Kluyveromyces lactis: one gene and its partners. The protein of the gene in region 6 interacts with the protein of the main gene of each other region in a pairwise test. Links are inferred from orthologs where the notes say so. Each region holds a gene or a part of one and is shown on either strand. Other genes may lie near its edges.

Region 1 (4,055 bases), on a different chromosome or scaffold from region 6:
CTGAGTTTACGTAGAACTTGAATTATCTCTTCCCATCCCATTCCAAGAGCAAAAATAAAAAAAAAACTAAAAAAAAACTAAAAAAAAATAAAAAAAAAAATACCACGACAAATTCTTGGAGAAGTACGGCCACAAACGGAAAAACCGTTTCTTTCCTCGGTGTTTTCTTTATTCTGTATTCCGATCTGGACACACATTATTGTTCGATTATGTTTCGAGAGCTGTTTGAAGAGATTTGACTGAAAGTGCCGTACAGAAAGAACTCACACAGGCCATTACCAGTGAAAATCAAATGTGCCTTCATTCTTTTTTTTTTTTTTTTCGTTTTACACTATTTACAATTAACTGTGCTTTGCTCGCATATGATCGTTATGATGTGATTAATTAATATATACAGTTCCCTATTTAGATCCTGCATTTACTGTACTTCGAATGCGAAGAAGTACGGGGAAAATTTTGGTTGATGGACCAGTTCCTTTACCCCGCGAATAATTCTCTCATTATCTTGTCGATTGCTTCAAAACGCCTGAGGCAATTTCTTGCAGCCATGCCAATTCAATTCGAGAAACAGACCGCGCGTATCCCTTTGTTGTGAATACGTGTTCGATGTATAATATCGCAGGGCATGGACCTATTTCATCGCCACTATTCATGAATAACATCGAGGACGGATGGATCGATATTGGTTCCCCTGTTGGCGTTGTTCTAAAAGATTTATCAGGCATTCCAATTGCAGTGTTCTTGACAAACCCATATAGGAAACATTTTAAAACACCCGCAATGTCTGGCGGCTGCAACAGATTCGTAGCAATGTCTTCTTCTGGTTGTAGGGTGTCCTGTTTTGTTTTAATTTCTACCGGTTCATTGTACAGTCTCTTCATATACCCTGTCAACTGTTCTCTGACTTTAATCACGTTTTTGAATCCACGCTGAGATACACATAACTGTTTACACCATTCTTGTTTCTCCGAATTGCTTTGTAATGATTGATACATGTCGAATAACTCTTTTAGCATGATTAGGTCACCGTGCTTACTGCCTAGGGTACATAATGCCCTTCTTCTTTCGTTGACCTCATCTCGTTCCTCAGGCAATGGGTTTAACACCAAGTTTTCAACACTCAGACATGATACTATATCTATGACGTATGGCAATACTTGAGTCTCTTGAGCATGAATCAAAACGTTACTTAGATGTGGTGCTAAAGGTAATAGCGCCATCTTGCGACCTCTATCAGTGACACGACCCTGTTCATTGAGAGCACCAAGTTCATATAATTCTTTTAGCCCCGAGATAATAGCTTCTTTCCCTGGATGTTCTAGCCACGACCAGTTTACAATATCTTGTACGCCGTACTGTTTCAACATCAAGATAGGGGACGTAATTTCACATCGAGTAATTTCGGACTCAGATTGTTTCGGCAGTTGTTTGTAATCAGCTTCTGTAAATAATCTAAAACATTTACCTGAACTTTCTCTGCCTGCACGACCGGCTCTTTGTGCTACACTAGCCTTTGAAACAGGAACAGTTAGTAACGTAGCTAGCCCCAACTGATGCCTCCAAACTTTCACCTTCCTTAATCCACAGTCTATCACATATTTAACTCCAGGAATGGTAACAGATGTTTCCGCAATGTTAGTCGCCAATACGATTTTTCTTTTGAATCCCTTTAAAGGTTCGAAGACTTTAGCTTGATCTTTTGGTGGTAATGCAGCATAAAGTGGGTATGCTGTGATGCGTGGTACAGATTCGTCTAAATATGGAATGATTTTGTTTAAAATGGCCACTGCTTTATCAATCTCTTCTTGCCCCGGTAAAAAACAGAGTATATCTCCTGTAGTTTCTGAACTGTTTAACTGAACTGAACAGCGTACCACACTATCCACTATATCTTCACAAGGTCTGGGTAGATAATATCTGTCTACTTTGAATTTGCGGCCTTCAACGAATAGTATAGGTGCGTTCGAAAAGAATTTGCTGAATAGATCTGCTTGTAATGTGGCAGACATTACTATTACTTTCAAATCTTTCCTTTTGGTCAGTTGAAGTTCCTTCAAAAAACCTAAAATCAAATCCGTCAATATAGTTCTCTCATGTGCTTCATCTATGATTATGCATTTATAATTGGATAGGTTCTTGTCCAGCATTAATTCTCTGATTAACATACCATCTGTCAAGTATTTCAATTTAGTTCTTGTCTTGTGACTTTTATTATCAAACCGAACAGAATAACCAACTTCGTGACCAATTCTACATCCGTGCTCTTGCGCCACCCGAGTTGCAAGATTGATTGCTGCAACTCTACGTGGTTGAGTAACAGCTATGGCCCCTTTGTGCATCGGAGAAATCTCATCCATCAAAAATTGGGGAATTTGTGTAGATTTACCAGAACCTGTTTCACCAATCAATATGGTAACTGGATTAGCTTTAATGTGAGACACGATCTTTTCCTTATTCTGGAATACTGGTAAACTCTCACGCCCTTTCAATAACCTCAGTGCCCTTGTCTTTAACTCTTTATTTGACACATGATCCAAGGCTTCGGAATCCGAATCCCCAGTATCTCCATCTTGATGGTCATCAAAAGTAACTACGGTCTTCTTCCCAGCGTGACGTTTTAACGGGTTTGCATTGGATTTCTTCTTTCCAATGGACTTCCCATTCTGCCGGTCTTGAACCGCTTTACTCTTCTTTCCCATCTGAGTGATAGGTCTATAGTTGAATCAAACTCGAGTGGGTCAACAAATAAGGAAGCTGTAGATCCTCACTGCTAGCTCCTTACAGCAAGTGGTTGGCAATAATAGCAATAATCTCAACTCAAGAAAGCTGAAAAGACCTTTGACAAAACCAAGCTTGTAATTTTCCATAGCTCATCGCATCTCATCTCTGGAAATAGCTACTATTTACGTTTCTGCTGAAAATTTTCTTAGCTCATCATCGATTCAATATTGCCAATGAAAAAAAAAACTGATATTGTTGATACATCTGGCATAAGATGATGGCTGACAAGAAGTCCTGAATGTATATCACACCTAACTCTCTTGCTTCACTTTCAAGCGTTACAGAGGAACTCTCATAATAAACGATTAGTCTATTATTCAATACTATACTGGAACGATATCCATTTATCAGCAGTGACAAATTCTCATCATTGCCTTAACATAGAGAAGGAATAACACCATCAAGAGAAAATTAGTTTATATATATATATATATAAACTAATGCTGTCTTCGGTGTAGTAAAAGAGTATCATATTCTTTGAACAGGGTGCTCTTTACTGGGCTGCGTCTCTTAATTGTAATTCCACGATGATTTGAACAGTGTTGAACTTGTATTTTCTCAAGCACCTTCGAAACTGAAAAAAAAAGCTTTATTTCAGCATGGTAGATAAACTCAACCTACAGCGTTAGACCTATAGGGGACCGTTCACCAATCACATCTGGGGAAAACTATATATTATCTGTGGCTACGACGTTAACCACTGCATCTACTATCTACATTTCACTCTCTCATCTTTTTTCCCGTGATATGAGTATACTTTCTAGAGCTGCTAATAAGTTGCAACCGGGCAAGACGCTACTGGTTCCAAAAAACAAATTCAAAGTAGCAGATGAAGAATGGGGACATCTACCTGAGTACGTGGTTCCAGCAGCTAACAAGATTGTACATCCATTCTACCAATATCCTAATGCTACCGAACGCACAGCTTTGTGCATCACTGAAAGGAATCCAAAACTTTTCAATGGGAAGCCGGTATTACCAGCATTTGTGAGACACCCAGTGACAAGTGAATCTACTCTAGTGGAATCCAGATTGAGTTTTGACACAGTTAAAGATGTATCAAAATGGGTTCAGAGAATACATAAATCCGGAGACCGTCTCTTTCATAAAGTCAACATTACTTCATCAGACTCCGGACCAAAAGTGAGAAAAACGAAACTGACCTCGGAGTCTCCATTTGTTAAACAATTAGACAACTTTTTGAACAGCCATCCACAGCTGTCATTCGAGACATTAGACAGTGAATTGAGCAAGCTATTCATATTCCATAAAGG
Region 2 (3,851 bases), about 400 kb from region 6:
ATCCAAAAAAGTATAATGATGACGAGGGTTTACCGCCTGCGATCCCGACAGAATATGGTGATGAGAGAATCTTGAATATGTCTTTCCAGTATAAGCTGTTGATTTTGTCAACACCCAACCTGACAGCAAACAGCAGAAGTAAATTAGCATCCCTATCCTTATGAAAAATTCTTGTGACCTCATCTTCGTATATATCTGCCGACTGAGTTGAAATTATACAATTCTTAATTCCACAAAGGGGAAACCCTTCAATCAATGTTTTTATGCTTCTGGCTGTTGCGCTTGGCCCAAACCACTGCCCAGGTTTCATTCCAGATATTTTCTCTTCTGCTTTGACAAAGTTGTGTAACGACAAAGGATATTTGACATCGTCTTGAAACCAACGGATCAGATTTAACTCATTATCATCTATTCTTGAAGCATTTATTCTGAACTCCCTGGCAAGCTTGACTCTTTGAATGGCATTCGCTAAAAGAGCCTGCCCAGTGCGTATCATACAACCCCAACCAATATCTGAATAAAAACTGTCAGGATCAGTTAAAGCATTTTCTAATGTGTTGATAGGATTATCTCTAAAAAAAAGGGTAAAATTGATAGGAGATGGTCCATTCTCATTTCTGCGGATAGGGGTAAACTGTGTGCGGTATGTGAAGAACACTCGTGAATGTACGTCAGACAAAAGTCCAGGATTTAATGAGACGATATTTATCAGGCTTTCCAAGGCCGAGTCATCTGTTTCCACATCCGTTCTTGATTTATTGTTAAGGGGAGCGTATTCTTTGCCCAATATGAACACGGTGCCATCTCGATCAACATCTTCCACTATACCTAAATGTTGTGATATCCTTGACAAGAACTCCATATTTGCATAGGGATGGCTGGGTTTGAAGATTGAGCGATACGTTTTCCTATACTTTCATGCACTTTGTACTCACTTGCTTTTTACGATGCTGATCATAATTTGCAGAAACTTATATTTCTAATATTAATGAACAATAATCTATATGAAAAATGCATTTAAAACCATGTAGAAAATAATACTTCATAACAAGAACGTAACTCTAAGGTAAGCCTGGTACACCCCTTGTTGCAGCTGCTAGGAATTTGAAGCAGTAGGTCATCGTGATAATGGCAAAGAGGCATAAACATTATAATGCCAGAGGTGGTGGGAAGTCAAAAAGCAAGAAATCCAAGCCACATGGTGAATCAAGGCAAAGAAAGAATCATAGGGGAGGTACCAGTATCAACAGGAATAGATCCGAGTTGTTACTAGGAGGTGGTGACCTGATGAATCCACATCAAGTTGAAGATTATTACTTTGGATCCACTGCAAAAAAGAGTTCATTAAGATCTGGTGGATTTAGGCCTGGAAGATTGACGGAAGCTGATGAACTCGATACTGGCAGGTTGCCATCAAGAAAACGTCCCGTGGAGTTTATCAAAGCAAAAGAACTCTATGATCCTTCTCATGACCTAATATTAAAATTGGTGAAAAAGAATCAACATTTTGACGAGCCAAACTCTGACGGTTACAACTCCTCGCAAAGCGTATCCCTGAGGGAGGAAGAGCAAGATGGTGAAGATGAACAACAAGACGTTGATACTCAGGAAATTCCAAGTAAAAACACAACTGTCAAGATACGATCTGATAATGTGGTTTCTGAAAATGGAGATTCGGAATCAAACAGTTCAGCGAACGACGCTGAATTGTTCTATGTAGATATGGAAGGAGAAGAAAAGACTGCTGATAATTATATTAAAACTGTAGATGTTGATGTACAGGAACGGTCATTAAAGCTTAATGACTGTACCGAATTTCAACCGACATTGAGGGTAGGCAATGTGGAACTTAATCTCAAAGACGGGGGGTCTGGCTCTATTGAAGTTGATAAACCAAAGAGTTCATACCATCCATTTCACAGCTATATTCAAAATGTGATGGAGAATGTACAAAATTATGACTCGGATGATGACTTTGATGAGAATGGAAATGACGTTGAACAGAGTTTTAGTATAAGTTCAGATTATGAATTTGAATCCTCGGAGGAACTAATAACAACAGGTGGTACGATCGAACAGTTTGATAGTTCAATGAAGTCGTTAACAATTGAAGAAATTCCCGGGAAAACAATCACTGCATCACTTACAACAAAAGATATATCACAAGGAAATTCTGATAATAGCTCTGGCGATGAATCATTTGGATTCTGTGAGGATGATTTTGAAGGTTCGATAGGAAAAGTGTTTGTTTCCAATATTCGAATCGGAGCTGGGACTCATTCTTATCATGTCTCATGTCATGAAATATACGGAGATAGTGAGCCTAGATGGGTAGATGATGAAATGATGAATGAAATAATTGCCGAAATGGGCTTACCTGAACACCGATTTAGAGCTTATTACAAACATCTACACAAGTCATTCATTGAAGAAGAGGAAGAGCCAGAGGAATATGCTGATATCCCCTTTGATGATGATGACAGTGATGATTCTACTGCGGATCAATGCGAACCTTTCGCCGAAGATGATCTCGGTGAAGATCTTGATGATCTCGTGTCTTACGCTCTAAAATACAATAAGCAGCGAAAAATTGAATACCATACTACTTCATTGGATATTAGGGGGAAAGGAAGAAACAAGCATTTAATATTCGATCAAACAGCAGGAATGGACGAAGACATCAAGCTCATGCTTCAAAATAAGTTTGCCACAAGACAAATAAACAAAACCAAAAAAAGAAGAGCAAAAGAAGATTTCTTGTCTCAGTCACATGCAAGCTCTACAGATCTTTTAATGAAATATCCTTACGGTCTACACATTCAAAATATAAAAGACGAATTTGATGCGTTTTACCGTAACGATCGTCAATCCATTACATTCCCACCTTTGGATCCCCACGGTAACAAAATCATCGGCAAATTTGCATACAATTATTTTATGAAGGCTTCCAATATTGGTAAAGGAAAATCGACCAAGGTTTACGTTGAGAAAACCAAAAAGACAAGGTTCAATAAACCAGCATATCACATTATCAGCCAATTACTCAGAAAACGACCTGTATTTATGAGAATAGATCAAAAAGCTCCGACTGACACACAATCCACGTTCAACCGTACTGTTCGCTTGAAAGTTTCTAAAGAAAACTTCAATATTAGTGAAGGGCAAATTGTGGGTGAAGATGCACCAGAAATTGGGATTGACAATATTGGAAGAAGAATGCTTGAAAAGCTAGGATGGAATATCGGACAAGGGCTCGGTGCCCACGGTAATCAAGGAATTAACGAACCAATCTTGGCCAAGGTGAAGAAGAACAAATCAGGTTTACGCCATACCTCTGAAAATCAACAATGACGGTAAAATACTGCATTGTCTTGTTCGACAACGCTGTTGAAAGACTGTGTTTCTTGATAAGTGTATAACTACATATACATATAGAGTATAATTGAATGCCCTTGGCCAGTATGGTCTATTTTTTTAACAATATCTAGAAAAGCGTGCACGTATGCCGTATCTTCAAAAGTTATGTTCGGTGAAAACCCTGGGAGCGTTTTGTCCGATCCCAAAAACTAATTTTTAGATTGATGTCGTTTTATTATATTAACCACAAACACGATTTTTAACAATGCCATGATAAAAGTACCAAAAAAATAAAACGTAAACAAACATAGATGAGCAGCAATCGATATTAATAAAAGATTGCTTGAAAACTAGAGCAGTTCGTCGAATATTAAGCACAGCCACATACTGAGACATTGAGTCCGCAATGCTTTCTCCAACAGGAAAAAGAAGAGGATCTTTCATTGGAAACCAAACAGACGCCAAACAAGAAGAAAAGTTTGATTATACAGATA
Region 3 (4,095 bases), on a different chromosome or scaffold from region 6:
GCACATATATTCATGCACAAAGACCATCGCTCCTTGATCGTTATAAGGACAGCGGTATACTAGGAGTATTTTGGAAGTTTGCGAGAATTGGGGAAAGAGCTAGTCCTTATGTGTCTTTAGCTTGCATTGCCATGGCAGTTTCGCAATTCAACAGTTGATAAACCCAAGGGAAAAGATAAAGATAAGTCACAATTGCTATAGGTGAAAGCTCTCATTAGCAAGTTTGACCGGCTCTGAGGTCTATAGAATTATATTTTAAGTATAAAATTAGTTTAATCTATTATCGGGCGGCTATTGGATTCGTTTGCGGGCTTGTCTCTTTGCATCAAATAATTAAGAATTAATATGTACTCTTTGAATCTGACTTTGAGTTTCAAAATTCTACAACAAACAAAGAAGTTGAAAAGTGCAACATATTTTAATACTCTAAGCTATTAGTAAAGGAGAACGATTGCGTAAGTTTTCGGTTTACTAATTATTTATGGCATATTTGATCCACTCTATTTAAACTCGTACACTTCGTTTTGGCCATGAGCCAATACTGCCGCGCGTTTAGATCCTACGACTCTCTCTAGAGAAAGACCGTCCATCTTACTATATATGCATCTGACAGTTGAAATGTTGATATCACAGTTGCCTAAAAATACGTTCTTACCAATATTGCGAACAACTTCAGAATAGAATTCAGGATTTCCCGGAGGCTTGTAGAAAATTACACTCTTGACGTTTTTTATTTCGTACCTTCTAAAGTGGTGCAATCTTTCTGTGTATAACAAGACCTTCACCTTTCCGTGTTGGAATCTTGCTCTATTGGATGTCAATTGTTTCTGGTTAGAGTACTCGTTGATTTCTCCGAATATGATTGTAGTTTTTTCTTTCAAATAGTTTCTAACACGGATGAAATCGGTATAATCAGGAATGTATAATAATATACCATCCTCGTACCCAGTAGATTTCACAATAGACGGAACGATGACACTCGTAAAAAATTTAAACCTGTAATCAGGTTCATCTAGAGCTGTCCCTCCTGCTAAATCAAATCTTTGGAATATTTGTCTAACCTTTAGTCCTAATTGACCAATGCTTGATTGTTCAGGTTTTATCTTCCTATGATTTTTCCATCTTCCAGCAAGATTACGACACTTCCCATTCAAGATTGAGTTGGCAAACGGTGATATGTATTTAGTGAAGACTATTGTTTGGCGGAAGAATTTTGCCTGTTCGTTAATATACCACATTCTGATTCGACTGAAATCTGCTTCCCGTTGCTGTTCCGGAATTTTATTGATATGCTGAAAAATTGTTGTCACATGCATGGCGTTTTGATATTCAATGGAATGCAATTGATCTATGATCATGACTTCAATGCTCGACAAGAAATCATCCTGTCTTTTCTTCTTATCAGTGTTTTCAAGAATTAATTGAATCCCTAACGGAGAGCATATAATGATATCGGACTGATAAAAGTTTGAGTATATCTTTAGGGATTTTCTAGTGAACTTGAGACCCAATACGAAGAAATCATTTGTGTTACCCTGGAAAATATGCTGAAAGGATTTAGGTTTTGAAGTAGGAGGTAACGAATCTTCGAAGAACTGATCCTCAAATTTCGATTTCTTATCGAATTGATCAAGCCCTGATTTCTCCATAATTTTCCGGACAATTTTGTGAGCAGCATCTCTTGTTGGTACTACAATAAGTACTTTCGGACGTGTAAAACCTTGATCCAATAGCTCTTCATCATTGTTTTCCTGTAATTTTTGATTATTTTTCAAAATACGATCCCTGGTCTTATAGACGTGGTTGAGCGCATGTAAAGAATACAGATCTCTGTATTGATCTTCATCAGCATAATCATCGTATTCGTATAACATATCTTTATACTGAAACATTGGATCTACAAGTTCCTTTTGAATTTCAGTTAACGGTAAGCCATTGTTTTGGAAATCGTTTGCTAATTTCAACTTCTGTTTGATGAAATATGAGCTCAAAGTTTGTTTCCCCTTCACAGGCAAAACTTCCTCATCATCTAGACACGGTTTGGAATATATTAGAGATTCTTCTTCCGAAACATCTGTTTTCGAAGATTTGTATTTGACAGTCTTGTCTTTGAAGCCTTTATCGAAAGCATATAAGCGTGATTCACTATATTTGCTGAAATGTGATTCGAATGGATCGGATTCATCTTCGCTCTCATCAACGTCAGATAATGAATCTTCCATATCTTCCTCATCCACAACTCCTCCAGAAACATCATCCAAAGCATTTTCAATATTTTGTTGTTCATCTTCACTATTAATTCCATCGTTTTCAGGACTGTCTTCCTCAGCGCGTTGGGAATCTTTCTTGATCTTCTTATTTGATTTGTGTTTCCTTTCTGGATGTTCTGACTTTAATAAAGTTAACAACGCATTATAAGCTTGTCCTCTATGTTGCTCAACATCTTCTCTTTCAGCTGCAACAGATGGCTCTGCATTATCAGAATCACTTTCATTATCAGGGGTTAAGTCTGCTACCGTTGCTTCGTCATCATATCTTACTCTTTTCTGACCAGCTCTAGTGATCTCTCTCAACTGTTTTCTACCAGATTTTGGACCAGCTCTGATTTTACTCATGTTTGAGGATTCCTTTACCAAATAAATGACACTTTTCTACTACTCCAGCAATAACCAAATACAATTAATATGATGTCAATTTAATATACTGCTCATCTCATGTCATCTCATCGCATCTTATAATCTTAGATGCTCAATTTTTCATCCGTGTTTAATGATCTCATCAGGTCCAGGTACTTGAAAAGAAGTGTCGACCCCTTCCTACCGTAAAGTCATGTCACAGCAGACCTGAAACACCTCAAAGATTACGTCTACCTTGAGAAGCGATTAAACAAGTTCAAAGTAGTGTGCTCGTCATACTGTTTACCTTTTTGGTACGTTCCATTCCTTTTACTACTGCGCCTGTAAACTGACTGTTTTCATAAACTTATATAATACAAACAAAAAAAATAATGTTACATAGAATTACGATGGAAATCTTCAAGCAAACCAGAAGACGAAGGAGTCAAGAAAGAAGGCTTGAGCCATCAACAATAGCCCGTCACTGTGCAAAATTCAACGTTTCCAAGATGCCACTAATAAAGAAGAGTGTGCTTCAAACTCTGCGGATATTTCTCACGACAATGTATCTATTTCTCGTGCTGATTACCATTCCGATAAGTTTCCAAGTTGGTGGGCTGAACTGTGGATTGTCATTTACTGTAACGTTATTTGCTCTGTATTTTGTTTCAACGACTTTCAAGCTAGTATTACTGGACCGCGGATCAGCGTTGTCAACCCTGATTTATTATTTGCAGCATCTTCTCATTCCTTCAATTTTATTCATGTTTTTGTCATACTTTGAAAACATCGACTCTGATACTGTCGATTCCGAGTACTTCAAAGTATTTTGGAATGTGATGGTGAAGCCATGGCAGCTATCATTGATACATTCGACTCCAGTGTTCACTCTACTGGAGGGTGTTTTCACCATTCTCGCCATTCAAGCCATAGGGGAGACAGAGAGATGGCTCAAGATGTCTAGAAGAAGTAATCAATGGGTTATTCTGAGTTTGTTGATCAGTGGGGGAATTATTACGCTATCACTATTTTACTTTTACAGAATATATGTCACTCCAATGTGGGAACTCTCCACACCAAGTGCTTCACTACTTGGGTTCACATTCTCAATTGTTTGTGGTATCGGATTATATGGTATAAACGGATCAGGGTCAGTGATGGAAAGCTCGTTGTTTTTTGCTTATATGGTTCGCAATGTTTACGAAATAAGTCCTAAGATGGCGATGAATGCCATGGACGAAATATTCGATATCGTTAAGGAAACATGGAAAATCCATCAGGCTAATTTGCCCAAGAAGGATAATCTTTTGGAACTCATGACTAAAAATTATCGCGCCATCTGGAGTCAGATAGTAGAACACACGCCTCGGAACCATAAATATATTAAAATGATGGACCAATGTAAATGGATTCTAAATCCTTTGTGGAACTCAGTGAAGAATTTCACTAAAAGCGTACCGATAAGTATCCAAGAAATATT
Region 4 (4,211 bases), on a different chromosome or scaffold from region 6:
AGATCAAACCCGATGGTAGGAGTTTCTTCTCGAGAGTTCCCATGAGGGGCAACCCAAACGTCGACAGGTGTATCAGACATGTATTTGCTCCGAATTGTACTGGATCAGGGCATATAGTGGTGAACTCGAAAAAGATAAAATTTCACTCAGTACCTATGGTCCTCATCACTGCATTGCAAGGCCTTAAACCTAACAGCGCTGCCAAATCGTGGAATTTCGCTGCTTTCATGTCACCTAGACGGACAATTTTATGTATGGAGTTTACAACGCCAAAAGAATACGGTGAACAAACAGTGACCATATCGTCGGACACAAACAAGATAACCTCATCACAGCGCATATATTGCGGTATACAGGATAAACATAAGCATGTGAAACATTTTGGGCTAACACTGGATCCCAAGACCGGAGTAGAGTATCCAAACATCGTAGAGATTCCGTTACCCAAAAAAGACGGTGAACTATGCCCCACGTTACTATTGGGGCCCTTAAATCTAATCAATGTGTACGATATATTACAAGAGATGCCCACGGTATTGAAAGGCATTGTGGAAAAGGTGGAAGGAATCAACCCATATCTATATCAGTTCTGTCAAAGAACCGAGGTAGATGACGAACGTGCAATATCACTTGTAGAAACAACATTTATAAGTCCATAGATCCAATTCAGATAAATTTAAAAAATGATTAACAGAGTGAATAGATGCGAGTCGTCATTAATCCCAGACATCTGATCTCCCATATCCAAGAGTCAAACGTCAAACGTCAAACGTCAAATTACGTATCTTGGCAATCTTCAAACACAGCAGAACATTACCCGGTACAACAAAAGAAATTTTTTTCCTCATTATCTTCTCAACCAATTTTCATAGGAAAACAGAGAAATAAAAAGTAAACTTAGAGCTCATCTCAAGAAATTGGGACTAGAATAAAATAGTGTGTAAAAAAAGCAGAGAATAACCTTGTTTCTGTCTTTGTCTCTGTCTTTGATCAAATCAGAGTTTCTCCTACCAACGCTGGCTGTAAAGATAGTGGAAAATTTTACGTATCTAGGTTAGAAGTGCAGTAAGATCAGGAATATTCAGGAATAGATTTCCCTGCTCTTCGGTTTTTTTTTTTTTGGTTTCATTCTACTAGTCGTTTATCTGCGAAGAGAAAGGATAAGGAATAAGGAATAAAGATTTGAATTGTGTGTGATCCCAGGACACTTACTGTTGATTAGCTAGTTATTAAAGATTGTGTTGAACTGGATAAAACGTTTTATAACCTAGAAATTTTTTTTTTCTTTTGGTTTTCTTTTTATTAAATTGTTGAGCCTATTGATTTGATCCAGGTGCATATAGAAAAGTCCACTAAAGAGTAGAATACCATTATTGCAGCTGCTAATTGCAACTGATAACACATATATATTATGTCAGGTAAAAGCCCGAGGAAGTTAACTAGTGGGAAGAAGCCTACGACTCTGAAAGCGTTACAGGATAAAATGGGAAATAAGAAGGATAAGCCTCCGCATTTAAGTTCTAGACCGAGACGTTTCAGTCTAATATATTCTAGTGATTCGTCGCTGAGTGATATACCACAGGATTCGAACAGCAGGGGCTCGAATTTGTCCAAGTTACCGTTATATAAGAATCCCAAAGCCGGAACTAAGCTAAAAGGTCGATCTTCGAATGCGATGGGTAAGAACGGAAAGCTGATATCAACGAATCAGGACTCAGCCATCACATCAGGTTCGGACAGTGCTACAGCGTCTTCAGACTACCAGTCTCTCTCGGAGGATGAAGGAGGTACAATGGCAGTAGATGATGACGATGATGATGATGATGATGATGATGATGATGATGACGATGACGATGATGACGATGATGATAGCGACAGTTCGAGTACTAGTTCAGACGATGACGTGGATTTTGTGAGACTTACTGCGGAACGTAAGAAAAACGCAATGAAACAGCTGAACGCTTTGAAGAGGGGCAAGACACCTGCAGAAACTGTCGTCAGTAACAGCAACAATAAAGGTAATAGTAAACAGGGTGGATTTCCTAATAGGGCTCAGCAGAATCGTGAAGCTTCGGATTCGAATGATGAGGACATTTCAAGCTCTGAACTATCAGATGCTCCTGAACTGTCATTCAATTTCAAAGGCGACGATGGGATCAAGTTCGGTGATGCTTCAGTAGCCTCCAAGAAGGCTGATGAAGATTTAGGTGAGGAAGTCAAGGATAAAGATGTGAAACAACCTTTAGATTCCATTAAACCAAATGTCGATAGATTGGCGGTACCGAAATTTTCAGATAGTGAGGATTCAGATTATAATATCGATCAAGAGGCATATTTCAAGACCATTGATGATGATAACGAAAATATTACCGGTATAGATAACGGCCTTGAGACTGGTGATGACGATATGGCTATTCTGGATGTTGAAGAACAGAATATGGTTAAACAGCTTGAACGTGATGATCATTCTTCTTTCGATGATTCGCAGGTGGAATCAAAGTATAGAGATGGGAAACCCAGAAATGACGACGATGATTACGAATACGACGAGGACGATGAAGATGATGCAATCATGAGTGATTTCGATATGCCCTTTTATGAAGATCCCAAGTTTTCCAATCTGTATTACTATGATGGCAGCGACCAACCCTTAACTTTAAGCACATCTTTACCGTTAGTGTTAAGCGAAGAGAAGCGTAAGAGGGAAGAGCGTAAGCAATTAAAACAGCGGGAAAGGCAGGAGAGGTTGAAAAGAAGAATGACTTCCAAGAAGTCTAAACGTGAACATTCTGCTACTCCAGATCTTGCAGAAGATGAGTACGTATTTGGGTTATTTTTCCAAAGCGATGACGAGAAACCTAAAGTTACCAATGACCTTGAATCTCCTTTGCGTAGGCTCAGTACCGTGGCAGTATCTGATAAAGAGCTTTCATCTGGAGATGAAGAGTACGAAGATATTCTATTAGATATCGCCCACCTCCCTACAGATGAAGAGGATGAAAATGGCTTGGAGCTAGACGAAGTCGAAAACTCAGATGGTGAAGATGACTTTGAAGAAGATGATGACGATATGAGTGTCACCAACGTTTTCATTGATATTGATGATCTCGATCCAGATGGCTTCTACTTTCATTACGATTCGTTATCAGATGAGGAAGCTGGAGAAGCTAAGAGCTATCCTGACACTCCAGATGACCATGTGGAAGGTGTCATCTTTGTAGATGACGAATCCACTGATGAAGATGACACTTTACCACCTCCAAATACAAGACGCAAAATTGGGACTAAGGCAAAAGAAGTCGTTAGTGCCAACGTTGTTGGTTTGAAGCCTCCGAAACTTGGAACTTGGCAGACAGATAACAAGCCCTTTAGTATCATTGATGGCCTTTCCACTAAATCTTTGTATCCTGCTATTCCGCCAGTTCAACAAATTTTAGATCCAAGAATTGAAGTCGAAGACGTTTCATCACATAATGGTATCGGATCAGGAGGCGAAAAAGAGGAACTAACCCTTAACGAATTGTTGAATATGAGTGAGCTTGAAGATGAAAACAATGAAGATGGCGCTGACTCGAATTCTAAGAATAAAGAGATTGCCACCTGGTATCACAAACCATCTGTTCCATTATCTGCTTTCAGAAATAAAGGCATCAACTTCGAACATCAAGAAGACGAATACATGCTTCCTGTGTTTTCAGCACGCAAGTTCCCAATTGGTTACGTTGGTAGTGAAAGGACTAGAAGGAAGATCGATAAGATGAAGGAATACCAAAGAAAGAAAGATGAAAAGCGACGGAAGATAAAGAAGAAAAAGAAGCTCTTGAAAATCAGAAGGGAAAGGCAAAGAATTGAAAAGCAAAAATTGCTCACTGCTCCTGAACAAGAAACTGAAACTGAACCCAACGCAGATTCTCACAACAACATTCAAACTCCCTCTAGCGTGAATTTGGCTAGTCCAAGTTCAAGTGTTTTCACCGATGCAGATGCTGGAAACACACCTAATGATTTCAACGGTCTGGTTTTACCAACGAGGAAGAATTCTGTGAAGGGATTAGGAATGGATGAAATTGATCAACTGCTGAAATCTGATGATGATTTAATACTTTCTCATCATGGAGATGAAGATGGAGATATTGATCTATTAGGCAGTGACGATGCAGATCTCCTGGTTTCTCTGACTGCCCCGATTGAAGAAATTGATTTTAACCATG
Region 5 (4,101 bases), about 530 kb from region 6:
GTTCCAAATCGTTACAAAGTCAGAAACAAACAAAGATAATGACCAACTTTCGAAACTGTAAATAAAGATCTAAACACATAGATCTTAGAGTTGCATATCTCCATTTTGTTGGAGTTTCAGCTCCTCGGCTTACCTCTTCCTTTCTTTCAAGAAGGCTACAAAAACGCTGATACTATGGAGATATAGGCGTCACAGAGTTACAAGCAATACGGCAACGTTTTAATTACTCAATCCACCCACAACTAGTCCTTGTCAAACGTGTTTGCGGGGGGTTAACAATCGGAGGCTAATGGTTGTGTCAGTGACTGATACTATTTTTACTCCCAATGTACATAAAAATTCCCCTCCTTTCTTTTTCAATCTCGAGTACATGTTGCGGATTTATTAGCACATGGAAAGCTCAACCACAGGGGCAAAGGGAAAAGAGTTGAGAGGAAAAGAGTGATTAATCGAATAATCAGTTTGATGGAGCCTTTGGAAAAAGGTCAAAGTTGTAGAGATCTGGAGAACGTAAACAAAGAGATAGGCACTTATATATACAAAACAGAGATTATCAACAGGTAAACAAAGGAAACGTAAACAAATACACCTCATAGCTGCATCAGCTGCATAGAGCATGTCAGCGGCTATCGAACAAGCCTAATCATGGATATGTTATGAACGTTATCGAGGTTGGTATCTGTTCAGTTGCCCTTTTTGAGATTGCAATCTGATAAGGATTCCAGTCGAGCCAATCGGAGAAAAGACGGACATTATGGATGTCTTTGTGTCTCTATTTTTGTGTCCCAAAACATAGAGTCATAGAGACATTGCAGCGTGGTCGGATTAAAGGGACAACAAGATCCCGCCCTATTTCTTTTCTTTTTTATTCGCTTGAGGGAGGAGAGGCGGATGGGACGGCGAGGTGGATTGAGGAACACTGATGTTGTGTTTTTAAGAAAATGACTAACATCCGGGTATCCTTTCACGTGACACAAAATACCATGACGTATTGCATTATTGCTGTTACCCGGCTTTCATATCGCTTTTTTTGTGGCACACCAAAAACCAGACACAAAAACGTGTCAAAGGAGCGTGTCTGGTTATTTGCTACCCGGATACTTTGATATCCAGAGTTTATAGATTCAGTTCTTTTTTTTTTTTCTTTGGATCCATTTTTTTTATCGAATTTTCGCTGTCAAAACCTCCCTCTCTAAGGCCAGATCAAAGAAAAAAAAAATAATAAAGAGAAATAAAATATTATACTAGAAAAGGTTTTACTAAACAGCAGGTTATTTCAGAAGAGTTCGAAAAGCTTGCGGACAGAAAAGGGCTAGGGTGCAGTTTTCTATCAGGAAGAACTAAGGTAATGACTGATTCTGTAAAACCACTAGTGGATCGTATCGTTTCGCAACCGTTGGAATTCAAGAAAGCTGTTCAAGAGGACTCATATAACGTCGGTGGTGAAGGCTCTTCGTATATTATGATCTCATCGAGCACCCAGAAACAGCAGCAGGAAGCCAAAGAAGGCGATGAGCATCAGTTAGAGCATGGACATCATCAGGGTATAGCTGCTACTGCAACTGCGTCCCGTAAGGAGAAGGTGGTCAAGCCCTCATCATTTGCAGAGGCGTTGAAGATGTATACCACTAAGAAAAGTGCGGCAAACGCTGCGGAATCTAAGCCAAACAGAAGTTCGCAATTACCAATTACCGCTTCTCATGTGACTCCATCGGGGAAATTATCTATCGGTTTGAGCAATGAGCTTTTACTCAGTGATGATGACTATCATGGATCCTCGACTGAAGATGAGGAGCATCCAATCGTGTCGTTGTTGGAAAACAAAGTGACCCCAGATTCAAACGAAATGTCGGGTTCTGGGTCTTCTTCCGCTTCTTCATCATCTGCTGCAACTTCTGCTCCTGTCTCGTCGTCTGATGACGACGATGAGGATGAGGATGAGGATGAAGTGTTTCATGAGGCTAATGAATTCGTTCAACCATCGCTGGCATTAGCTGCTCCTGCTGAGCAGCCTGGAAATGTCGATGAAGATGAAGATAGTGATGACAGTTCATTCCACGCTTCTTCTGCATCAGCAGAAGACGAGGATGACGAGAATGACGAGGATGTTTCTGCAGAGGAAAAGGAAGAACTCAAATTGGAGGCTACTGAACATGCTGCTGCTTCTTCTTGTCAGTTCAAAGGAGTGTCTTCATCTTCAACTGCGGCTGCTTCTGAGAGCAAACCTGAAGAAGAGGAAAATGGCGAAGAAGAGGAAGAGGATGAAGAATTGAAGCACAAATCTCCACAACCTCTATCACCTACCCCTCCTACCACTCTTCAGGACAAGTCAAGCTTCTACCAATTTAACGAGTCGATTAATGACCATGGTTCTAATAAACCACAGAGGATAGTTAAGAATTGGGGCTCTAAGTTGACCCAGCTGAAACCAAGGGGTTTACTCAACCATGGTGTCACATGTTACACAAACGCTGCTGTGCAAGCCATGGTTCATATTCCAGCAATTCAACACTATTTATTTCAATTACTACGTGGAAATTTCAAGGACACCGTTAAGTCTAACTGTGTTTCCATGTTATTAGCGGAAACTACGATGAGAATGTGGTCTTCTGACTCAACTAAAAATACGTACATTAATCCTGATAAATTAATCAATGCGTTGGAAGACATTAACTGTATGATGAGCGCTTGGAACCAAGAGGACTCTCACGAATATTTTATGTCTTTAATGTCACGTTTACAAGAGGACTCGGTTCCTAAGGGCCATAAAATGACAGAATCCATCATTTACGATGTATTCGGTGGATTACTACAACAATCAGTTAAATGCAGTAACTGTGGTGAGATTTCAACCACTGAACAACCTATATACGATCTTTCATTGCATTTAAAGGGTAGAAAGACAACTGATCAAGATCAAAACTCTGTTGGTCAAGATAATTCAATTGATAACTCTGTTGATCAACAGCAATCTTCAAAGAGAAGGTTTTCAATTGAAAAATCTATTCGGGATTTCTTCAATCCTGAGTTAATCAAAAGAGTGGACAACAAAGAAGGGTATACATGTGAGAAATGTAAGAAAGTTACTAACGCGCTAAAGTCAAACAAGATTATTCGTGCTCCAGAGACTCTAGTGGTTCATTTAAAAAAGTTCAGATTTAATGGCACATCTTCATCCAAAATGAAGCAGGCCGTATCTTATCCAATGTTTTTAGATCTAACGGAATACTGCCATGAATCAATCAGCTCCTTACCCGTAAGATACCAACTAATTAGTGTCGTTGTGCATGAAGGGCGATCTTTATCTAGCGGTCATTATATCGCACATTGTAAGCAACCAGATGGAAGTTGGGCCACATATGACGACGAATACATCAATAAAATTTCAGAAAAACAGCTTTTGAAAGAGCCAAACGCGTACTTCTTAGTGTACACTAGACTTACACCAAAATCGGTCCCACTTTCCTCTCAATCTTCCAATAAATCTACTGATCTAGGTATTCCGCAATTGCAAAGACCTCCATCTTCACACTCATCATCGCAGAACAACTCTAAACGTAAGAATAAGAAAAAAAACAAGAAGAGAAGGATTTCCCCATAAGTTTGAATAACCCTTTCCTTAAACTACCGGCTTACAATACACTTGCATCCTTGTTCATTCTTTCTTTGTAAACAGTCATACATGCATCTACCTCACACTGACTTCAGTTCATCTTTTTTCACTTCGGTTTCAGTTCATTTGGATCATCATATACATCTTCATCTATAGTAGTTGATATATTATTATAATTTTATCTTTTCATTATTCTATTTTATGTACACGAAATGAGGTCTACAAATGCTAATAAACCAGTTGGAATGAAACTCTCCATCGAGACCTTCACTATTTCACAAATCGATGCTTTGATTAGTGAAAAAAAAGTCAGTTTATGGAACTACCTTAATACCCATACTCTTAGCAACACCGATAATAGACTTTACGATTCCTTCAAGTTCCAGAGCAGCGTGTCTTCCATCGGTCTTCTTGATCTTGGCGATCTCATATATATGTTTTAACGACAGTTCACCACATACATTATCAGGGTTACTGATATTTGGTTG
Region 6 (4,132 bases):
TTTGTTCGGGATAAAACTCTCTAGTCCCGCTAGTCTCAATTGTCCAATTAAACAGTAAACCCATCTGTTAAATTGGTCCTTTGACTTCACTTGTTGTAGATGAACAGACGTCTTGTCTTGGAACCTGGAAAAGTCATCAAAGCTTTATATTCGCTGTCACACGAGTTGTTATTCTTCTTGGAATAACTAAACAACAGACTGCTTCGATATCTGTATTCCCTATCAAACACTTCGTAAGTACTTCCTCCAAATATCTCTCTCTCGGGATCTAAGTCTGAGTATGGGTTAACATTTTTATCCTCTTTTAAACTCTGTTTAGGAGCACTACCATCACTAACGATATCGAGTCTTTGTATATCTTCACAGATACCTCTTGTCGGATCATTACTTCCTTGCGGAGACTCAGTGACGCTGCCATGTAGGTGATCCTGGTTGTCGCAGTCACAGTCACGTGTAATTAATTCAAAACCTTCGGTATCAGATGAATCCATAGTGTTTACTAGCTATATATAGCTAGTGTGTTGATGCACCTGGCGATCTGTCATGACTGTGTTGATGGTCTTTCCCCAGATCTATGGCCTCTTTATATAATAACTCAGATTGGTTAATGATGTTTCATGTTGATACTTGACCGTCTATTGTTTCTAATCCGTCTCAACAGATAACCCGCCGAATGATCTAAAAAATCTGTAAAATTTGTAATAGATTTCGTGCCTCCTTAGCTTAGTGGTAGAGCGTTGCACTTGTAATGCAAAGGTCGCTAGTTCAATTCTGGCAGGTGGCATTCATCTTTTTCAATATCCAATCTGACCTTCCTCGAATCTATTTTTTTTTTCTTAAAGTAACATTGTGCACTAAAACTAGCAATACGGTACGTCTAAAACCATGTATTCCCTATATTACTACATATCGGGATAGTACCAGTTCCAGCACTTGAGTTGGACTTGGCTTTAGTCCAGTATGACTCTATGTATCTGACTATCTAACTGATTATTCAGAGAGACTGAGATTGGACACGTCGTATAAAGTGACAGACGCATCAAAATCCTTCACATCGAATTTTGGAAAAATTTGCCAGGCGATGAGCTTTAAAGGTTTAAAGAATTCGCATTTACATAGAATGAACGTACCCATAGGCAGGTTTATCACAGTGATTTTGTTTGGATTTCCCTCGTATTAGTTTGCTAGATATTAAAAGGGTAATTCTCTTCTGTTTTGGCTAGGGGAAATTGAAACCCTAGGACTCGGGCACTGGCTATCATTCTGTATTATAATCAATCCAGAGGCGCAAACGGTCAGGAACTAGTGAATTAAGTGGATATTTAGTGAACTATGGCCTCTGTGAAACGTGTAGCACCAGATGGTGAGAAGTCCAGGAATGGTAGTTTCACCAAGAAGGCGCTTGTAAAAGCTATTACTGGCTCACAGGCTGAAAATGACAGTGACAAGACTGGTTCTTCTTCTTCTGGAGAAGAAGAAGAAGAAAGAGAGGAAGAGGCTACTGCCTCTTCCAGCGGGGAAGAAGACGAGGAAGAGGAAAACACACATGACCATAAGGCTAAGAAGCCAAAGTTGAGCTCCCAGGATATACAAATAGCGAGAGAAACGGCTGAACTCTTCAAATCGAACATTTTCAAATTACAAATCGATGAGTTATTGGAACAAGTGAAGTTGAAGGACTCACACATCGTAAGGGTGGAGAAGTTTTTGCATAAACTATATGATATGATACAGGAAGTACCGGAATGGACTCCGCAAAGCTTAGAAGATGTAGAGAAATATTTCCATGGGAAAGTGGTATCAGTTCCGTTTGTGGATCCAAAACCACAAGCGAAGAACACACAGTACAAATTCAATTATTTAAAGCCGGACGTGAGTTTAATTGGATCATTCGGGTTGAAGACTGCCATCTACCAACCTCAGGGCTCCGCAGTAGACGTTTTGTTGACTATGCCTGAGCAGTTGTTCGAAAAGAAAGATTTCTTGAATTTTAGATGTTTCCACAAGCGTTCAGTATACCTCGCGTATTTGACTCATCATATCTCACTCGTCCTGAAAAGAAGCCAGCTGGATTTCTTACACTTGGAATATTCATACTTTAACAACGATCCTTTACAAACGGTATTAAAGATAAGTTGTAAGGAGAAAACTTCATCGGACTATAATTTCTACAAGACTAAATTCAGCATAAACTTGATCGTGGGGTTCCCATACAATTTCTTCGAATCAAAGAAGTTGCTACCCAATAAGAACTGTATCAGAGTCGGTCAGGATAACGAAACTCCGACACCTTTCTACAATTTCTCGGTATTATCATCTTCTTGTCACGAACACTATTTGAAGTACTTACACAAATCAAAGAAACAAACAGAACAGTTTAAACAGGCTTGTATTTTGGGGAAGCTATGGTTATCTCAGAGAGGCTTCTCATCAAATATGTCTCATTCAGATGCGTTGGGTGGTTTTGGAAATTTCGAGTTTGCCACGTTGATGGCAGCCCTACTAAATGGTGGTGGGTTGAATGGTAACAGAATTTTATTGCATGGGTTCTCATCTTACCAATTATTCAAAGGTGTAATCAAATATTTGGCCACAATGGATCTTTGTACTGATGGGTACTTACAATTCTATTCCGACTATAGCACTACTGCAACTGTCACTTCCTCAAAATACGTTGAAGAAGGTTTCCAAACACCTACAATCTTTGATAAAACCACCAAAGTTAACATACTGAGTAAAATGTCTGTTAACAGCTATCAAATGCTAAAGATCTACGCGCAAGAAAGTTTATTGATGTTGAATGACGTCGTCAGAGATCAGTTCGAAAACATGTTCTTAACTAACTTAAACAAGATCAAGACAGTGAAATATGATGCTTACTATGATTTAGATATCCCATCCATCAATTTACTACTGTCCAAGTTCGGTCCCGTTGAAAAGATTAGCTTTATATCATTCGAAAATTTCATCTGCAATAAAGTATCGAACATCGTGAAGATTGCCCTTGAGGATAGAATCAAAGCTTTTGAAGTGGCTCTAGTTAACAATAGATCTACTTTCCCAGTAACAAAGAGAAAAGTTGCTGCTGTTCCAAATTTCACTTCAATCCAAATTAAACTGTTGATCAACCCTGCAGAATGTGAGAAGCTTGTGACTAAGGGCCCAGAGAACACAGAAGAATTAACTAATGAAGCTAATGAATTCAAGATTTTTTGGGGTAAAAAAGCATCTCTTCGTAGATTCAAGGACGGTTCCATTGCAAACTGCTGTGTCTGGTCAACTTCTGCTATTGAAAGTGTTGTTTCTTCGATTTTGTCCTATGTTCTAAGGCTACATTTGACTGAAGACTGCAAACTCATCAATAATTCCACTAGCCAATTCCAACAGTTGTTACCACTACCGAACCTACCTGCATCTTCAAAGACATCAGTTCTAAACCTATCAAGCTACTATAACTTGAAGAAGTCCTTTGACGATTTGTATAAAATCATGTTCGAGCTAAAACTCCCATTATCAATTAAATCTCTTTTACCTATTGGTTCTGCATTCAGGTACACATCATTATGTCAGCCTGTCCCATACGCATATTCTAATCCTGATTTCTTACAAGACGTTGTTATCGAATTCGAAACGTCTACAAAATGGCCTGACGAAATTACTTCGTTGGAAAAGGCTAAAGCTGCATTTTTATTGAAGATTCAAGAATCCATCACGCAGACTCATAGTGAGTACAAGTGCTACTTTACACGTGATGAATCGATTCCATACAACTTGGAAATAGTTACTCTAAACATTTTGACTCCAGAAGGATACGGTTTCAAGTTTAGAGTTCTAACTGAGAGAGACGAAGTTATGTATTTGAGAGCAATTAACAACGCAAGAAAAGAACTAAGACCAGAGCTGGAAAAGACATTCTTGAAATTTACTGCCAAGTACCAAGCTGCTATTAGACATACTAGAACTTTGGAAAACATTTCCCATAGTTACCCATTCTACTCTCCAGTGGTAAGACTATTTAAGAAATGGCTAGATTCTCATCTCTTATATGGCCATTTGTCAGAAGAATTGATTGAGCTTATTGCCATTAAGCCATTTGTAGAGCCACGTCCATTCACCATGCCAGGTTCCGTTG
Region 7 (4,206 bases), on a different chromosome or scaffold from region 6:
AGAGAATTCTCACAATATAACCCATAACAGCTTCTTCATCTTGCTTTTGGATAGTTTTGGTGTCATCGGTTGCTAAAAACTTGGTAATTTCATCTTTAAATAAAGTGTCATCCAATAAGTTCTTCAAGTTTTCTCTGTACTTGGTTATATGAGATTCCTTGTAACAAAACAACGCATCTAAAGCTAATTTTTGAACTTCTGTAGTTCTGCTGCTCAAAAGTGCCATTAACCTATCGTGCACTTCCTCTGATTTGTAAATGGATTTGATATTTTTGAATTTGCCAACGAGCTTTAATAAAAGGTTTCTATCACTTTCAGTCCATTGTGATGCTGTTGGAATTAGTACATCCATACTTGGTTGATCTTCTGTGATAAAAATTTCTTCAGATTCTTCTTCATTAAATAAAAAAGGAACTATGTCCCTTGAATGACGCTCTGCCAAACTAGGAATCGACAATAAAACTTTGAATATCTGACTTCTAATCAATGATGGATATACCATAGAATTCCTTCTTTCCTCCAAAACATCCAATATAGTTGAATCGCTAGCAGAGTATTTTTTAAATACTTTGTCAGAAGCAAGGATGGAGTCATTCATTCTATTGATACTAACGGTCCAGAATGGTTCTTGAAGGTCAATGTTATTGGAAATGCTATAATATTTGACGTCCTTTGTTTCATCAAGAACAGTGAGGAAACGCATAGCCAAACTCCACACAAGGGATTGGTTTTTGGTGTAAACTTCTGGAATTATTTCATAGATAGCTTCCCAAATTGGAGAGAATCTGACAGTTAGAAGCCCAAACATATGTTTGAAAAAGACATTAGTCAATAAATCCTCAGCTTCCATCTTGGCAAAGTCTGCACCTAGTTTCCTTACTCTGAGAGTAATGTCACGGCTTGTATGAAGATCCAGAGGGATTTCTTCCAAAATCCTTAGATCATAAAATAATTGGGGAACTGAGTTGCCTTGCTTTTCTAGAACAGATATTATAAACTTAAGGGTTTCGTAACGGATGGTTTTGTCCGGAAGTAATAGATTATCTGTTAATATGGGTAAAATCTTTGATAAAGATTTCAAAATATCAGTGTCGTCCTCCAAATATGATAAAACATGTGAAATACCTTCAATAAAATATCTACTGTTCTGTAGCTCTATAATTCTCGGAACTAGAATATTCAATAATTTTGCAGCCATGACCGACTCAGATGAAGTGATTTTAAATGTTAATGCTTGAAGTAGGAAACCAACAAAATCCTTTTCAAAATCCGATAACACATCCTTTTGGAAAACCCTCTCTAGCAAATGCATAATGATTTCCTCATCCTCTTGTTTCAATGTCTTTAATATTATAAGTTTCCAATACACAGAAAAAATTTCCTGTTCATCGTTTACATTAGCATCGCTGATATCCTTCAACAACTGGGTTGCGAATTCCGGTGCAGAGAGATGATTTACCAAGTCCAAATCTTGTGAAGATTCCGATTCTAAAAGGAACAATGCAATCTTCTGAGCACCATCTGCCCAGCAGTTATTAACGTATTTCTGCAAGTATTTCAACCCGTTGAAAGAAAGCACTTTACCCTTATCGATATCCATAGAAATCTTGAAGAATTCAATGAAATGAGCTGAGAATTTCGTCAAGTAGAGTTCGAACATGTATTTATGCAGAGAAGTTAGCGTTTTAACGTCAGCATTACGTAAGACGATGGCAAATGTAAACGACACTAGATCTGCATGTGATTCATTTAGACTATCATGTTGAGTGGCTTTACGTAGAACACCAGATAACTTTTCCCAACTTGGTACTTTTCTACCACTCTCGGCAAACGATAGCGTAGATAACATTCTCAACGTTTTACCAACAGCAGCACTAGATCCGTTCAAATTCTCGTCCAAGAATTCAAGGATCAAATCGTATAAACTCTGAATATTCTCCGCAGAAGTGTGTCTAGTGATATCTAGAATGATGTCACAAAGTAAAGAGACACATACTATGTCTGAATTTTTCTCGAATGCGATTTGCAGAAGAGTTTGGAATATTATATTTGATCTTGAATGCAATGCCTCGGAAGTACTCTTCAATGATTCACCAAATAAAGTTTGCAAACCGTCATAAAAATTATCATTCTTTAACAAGCACAATTTTTGGAACGAAAATGTGACAAAAGTGGCCAAATGTTTCTGTGGAGATTTCCTTATTAGAAACGATAGAGCCTCAGCGGAGAATCTGGAGAGGTATTCTTTCTTATGTGACAATAACGGAAATAAGAGGTCGAAAGTGGGCGTCAAATTCTGAGTCAAACTACGTGACAAATACTTGAAAATGTATGCCAAACAATTGAACCCCCATTCGAACACGTTTGAGTTTTCAAATTCAGTGGCAGCTTCCAATAAGTTAATCAAACATGTAACCGCCCTTTCATAAAATTTCATGAAATCAGGTCCCAAATCATGACAGAACTGAGCCAAGAGATCACACAACGGCTGTAAAGATCTCTCATCGTGTTTATCTATATATTGCTCCAAATTCGCAAAGATTTCATCCTCATGGTACAAAAGTTGAGGCAAAGTTTGAACCAATTTCTCTACCGAATCCATAAAGGATCCGAAATTCCCACTCAAATTGATATCCTTCCAGTGTTCAAAAGAGGATAGAAAATGGGAGGTCTCTACATCATCATGAACCCTTCTATCCAAATTTCTAGCAGGTTCAATCTTCAAATCATCAATCTTATCCTTGAAAGATGAGTATCTATACCTCTTGGTAGATTTCGTTGTAGTCTTTTGCTTACCCATGGTTGATTATTTTAAAATGGGAAACAGAACAAGACTAGTCCTCAATGTTATATCAATGTACTGAAGCAGGTCTTGTATGACTGGTGATTGACAGTTACTGTGTGTAGACCCTCTTGTGTTTGTTGTTTATGCGATGAGATGAGATGAGATGAGTTTTCATGCTTTTCCAAATTCTGAAAATTTTCCCTTTACCTAGAATGGAACGTGAAGAAATCCAGTTTCTTTTTACGCAGGGCCGATCTGGAGGACGACTACGGCCACAGGACTGACCGCCAGCACTGATCATTTATGAGGTGTTTTTAACGGGCCAGGAAGGTACGATAGTTGTGGGAGTACTAATAGTAGAACCGCTACAATATATAAGTTGAGAGTATCCAACCTAGAATCGCGAGGTAATGATAGAACTTCAACTAATAAGAAACTCCATCGTCTCATTATACAAAAATTGGTAAACATTATGTAGCGCAGAAGTAGTGCTGATTTTGGAACTCAACTTGGTTATATTTGAGGCTCTGCAACATTTTCTGGACATTCGTGGTAAAATAGGTATATCCTTTCTCTTAAATTTCCAGTATTTCTCTCCATCGGTCTCTTGATATATTATATATACTGATATATATTTGCATATGGGGAATAGTCGTTTTTAAATGAAATTTGTCATGATTCGCGATCAGATTTCCTCGCTACTCTTGCTGCAACAAGGATATGCCAGCAGGACTCCAGAGGGCAGTCGATAGGAGTTTGAAATCCAACCTGCACACGAAGCTATCGCTGAAAGGAGGATTTCCCACTGGATTTTTTGTTACAAGTCGCTTCTCGTCCCCTTTTTTGTCTGTTGATATACAAGACCTTCGATCAAAAGGATCGGAAAACAAAGAGGGCTAACCCAACACCAAGAGCAGGACTCCTGAACTTACTAATTGAATAAACAAGGGAAGTATATCTTTTCCGGGTTCTAATATTGCTCTTACTTCGCCTGCTATGTCAACCACAACTACATCTACGCCATCCAGTGTTGTCAGCGCTGTTCAAAGTGCTACCACTACATCTGCTGATATTGATAACAACTGCTGGGGTCTCTCGTGTTCCTCCCACTGGGAATGGGCACGGTGGGTAATATTCGTTATATTCATGTTCATCTTACTGGCATTTGTCATCACTACGATAAGAATAAACTATATAAGAAGGCGTAACGGACAACAACCACTTCGATACGTGTCATGGCTCACTCCGCCCACATACCGACAATCAGAAGCTGTAAGAAATAGATCAGATGTCCCATTGGCAGATTACGTGCCTCCGTACACAGAAGAAGCAAATGAAAACGATTTGGGTTACTACGATCGTGATGGGATATTCCACGTGAACAGTAAAGCCGACCCTCCACCACCGATAGATGCGTATGT

What was found.
Region 1: the proteins of UTP22 (region 6) and DHR2 interact in binary tests that used the Saccharomyces cerevisiae proteins (3 or more experiments, as listed by UniProt). The link is inferred for Kluyveromyces lactis from reciprocal best matches to the Saccharomyces cerevisiae genes UTP22 and DHR2.
Region 2: the proteins of UTP22 (region 6) and SQS1 interact in binary tests that used the Saccharomyces cerevisiae proteins (3 or more experiments, as listed by UniProt). The link is inferred for Kluyveromyces lactis from reciprocal best matches to the Saccharomyces cerevisiae genes UTP22 and SQS1.
Region 3: the proteins of UTP22 (region 6) and UTP25 interact in binary tests that used the Saccharomyces cerevisiae proteins (3 or more experiments, as listed by UniProt). The link is inferred for Kluyveromyces lactis from reciprocal best matches to the Saccharomyces cerevisiae genes UTP22 and UTP25.
Region 4: the proteins of UTP22 (region 6) and KLLA0_F13222g interact in binary tests that used the Saccharomyces cerevisiae proteins (3 or more experiments, as listed by UniProt). The link is inferred for Kluyveromyces lactis from reciprocal best matches to the Saccharomyces cerevisiae genes UTP22 and IFH1.
Region 5: the proteins of UTP22 (region 6) and UBP10 interact in a two-hybrid assay, tested with the Saccharomyces cerevisiae proteins (2 studies listed by BioGRID). The link is inferred for Kluyveromyces lactis from reciprocal best matches to the Saccharomyces cerevisiae genes UTP22 and UBP10.
Region 7: the proteins of UTP22 (region 6) and UTP20 interact in binary tests that used the Saccharomyces cerevisiae proteins (3 or more experiments, as listed by UniProt). The link is inferred for Kluyveromyces lactis from reciprocal best matches to the Saccharomyces cerevisiae genes UTP22 and UTP20.

The regions. Positions count from the first base shown.
Region 1 is NC_006042.1:2,427,004-2,431,058, reverse strand, and holds DHR2 (RNA helicase), read right to left. Parts: upstream 2,700-4,055; coding exon 501-2,699; downstream 1-500. Other genes in the region: AEP1 (Aep1p), read left to right, coding at 3,529-4,055. UniProt on the Saccharomyces cerevisiae protein: Probable ATP-binding RNA helicase. Required for 18S rRNA synthesis.
Region 2 is NC_006040.1:1,646,821-1,650,671, forward strand, and holds SQS1 (Sqs1p), read left to right. Parts: upstream 1-1,128; coding exon 1,129-3,351; downstream 3,352-3,851. Other genes in the region: cysteine protease ATG4, read right to left, coding at 1-862; CNM67 (Cnm67p), read left to right, coding at 3,764-3,851.
Region 3 is NC_006041.1:740,586-744,680, reverse strand, and holds UTP25 (rRNA-binding ribosome biosynthesis protein UTP25), read right to left. Parts: upstream 2,616-4,095; coding exon 501-2,615; downstream 1-500. Other genes in the region: KSH1 (Ksh1p), read left to right, coding at 1-158; ICE2 (Ice2p), read left to right, coding at 3,008-4,095. UniProt on the Saccharomyces cerevisiae protein: DEAD-box RNA helicase-like protein required for pre-18S rRNA processing, specifically at sites A0, A1, and A2.
Region 4 is NC_006042.1:1,219,268-1,223,478, forward strand, and holds the start of KLLA0_F13222g (uncharacterized protein), read left to right. Parts: upstream 1-1,411; coding exon 1,412-4,211. Other genes in the region: KLLA0_F13200g (survival factor 1 family protein), read left to right, coding at 1-659. UniProt on the Saccharomyces cerevisiae protein: Transcriptional coactivator that together with FHL1 regulates the expression of rRNA and ribosomal protein genes. Its activity is negatively regulated by environmental stress.
Region 5 is NC_006040.1:717,546-721,646, reverse strand, and holds UBP10 (ubiquitin-specific protease UBP10), read left to right. Parts: upstream 1-1,348; coding exon 1,349-3,601; downstream 3,602-4,101. Other genes in the region: MRPL19 (mitochondrial 54S ribosomal protein uL11m), read right to left, coding at 3,928-4,101. UniProt on the Saccharomyces cerevisiae protein: Deubiquitinating enzyme involved in telomere and HM loci silencing, which is the repression of chromatin structure which leads to a stop in the transcription of nearby genes.
Region 6 is NC_006040.1:1,246,659-1,250,790, forward strand, and holds the start of UTP22 (rRNA-processing protein UTP22), read left to right. Parts: upstream 1-1,332; coding exon 1,333-4,132. Other genes in the region: KLLA0_D14762g (uncharacterized protein), read right to left, coding at 87-491. UniProt on the Saccharomyces cerevisiae protein: Involved in nucleolar processing of pre-18S ribosomal RNA and ribosome assembly.
Region 7 is NC_006041.1:1,547,840-1,552,045, forward strand, and holds the start of UTP20 (Utp20p), read right to left. Parts: upstream 2,801-4,206; coding exon 1-2,800. Other genes in the region: KLLA0_E17447g (resistance to Congo red protein), read left to right, coding at 3,782-4,206. UniProt on the Saccharomyces cerevisiae protein: Involved in nucleolar processing of pre-18S ribosomal RNA and ribosome assembly.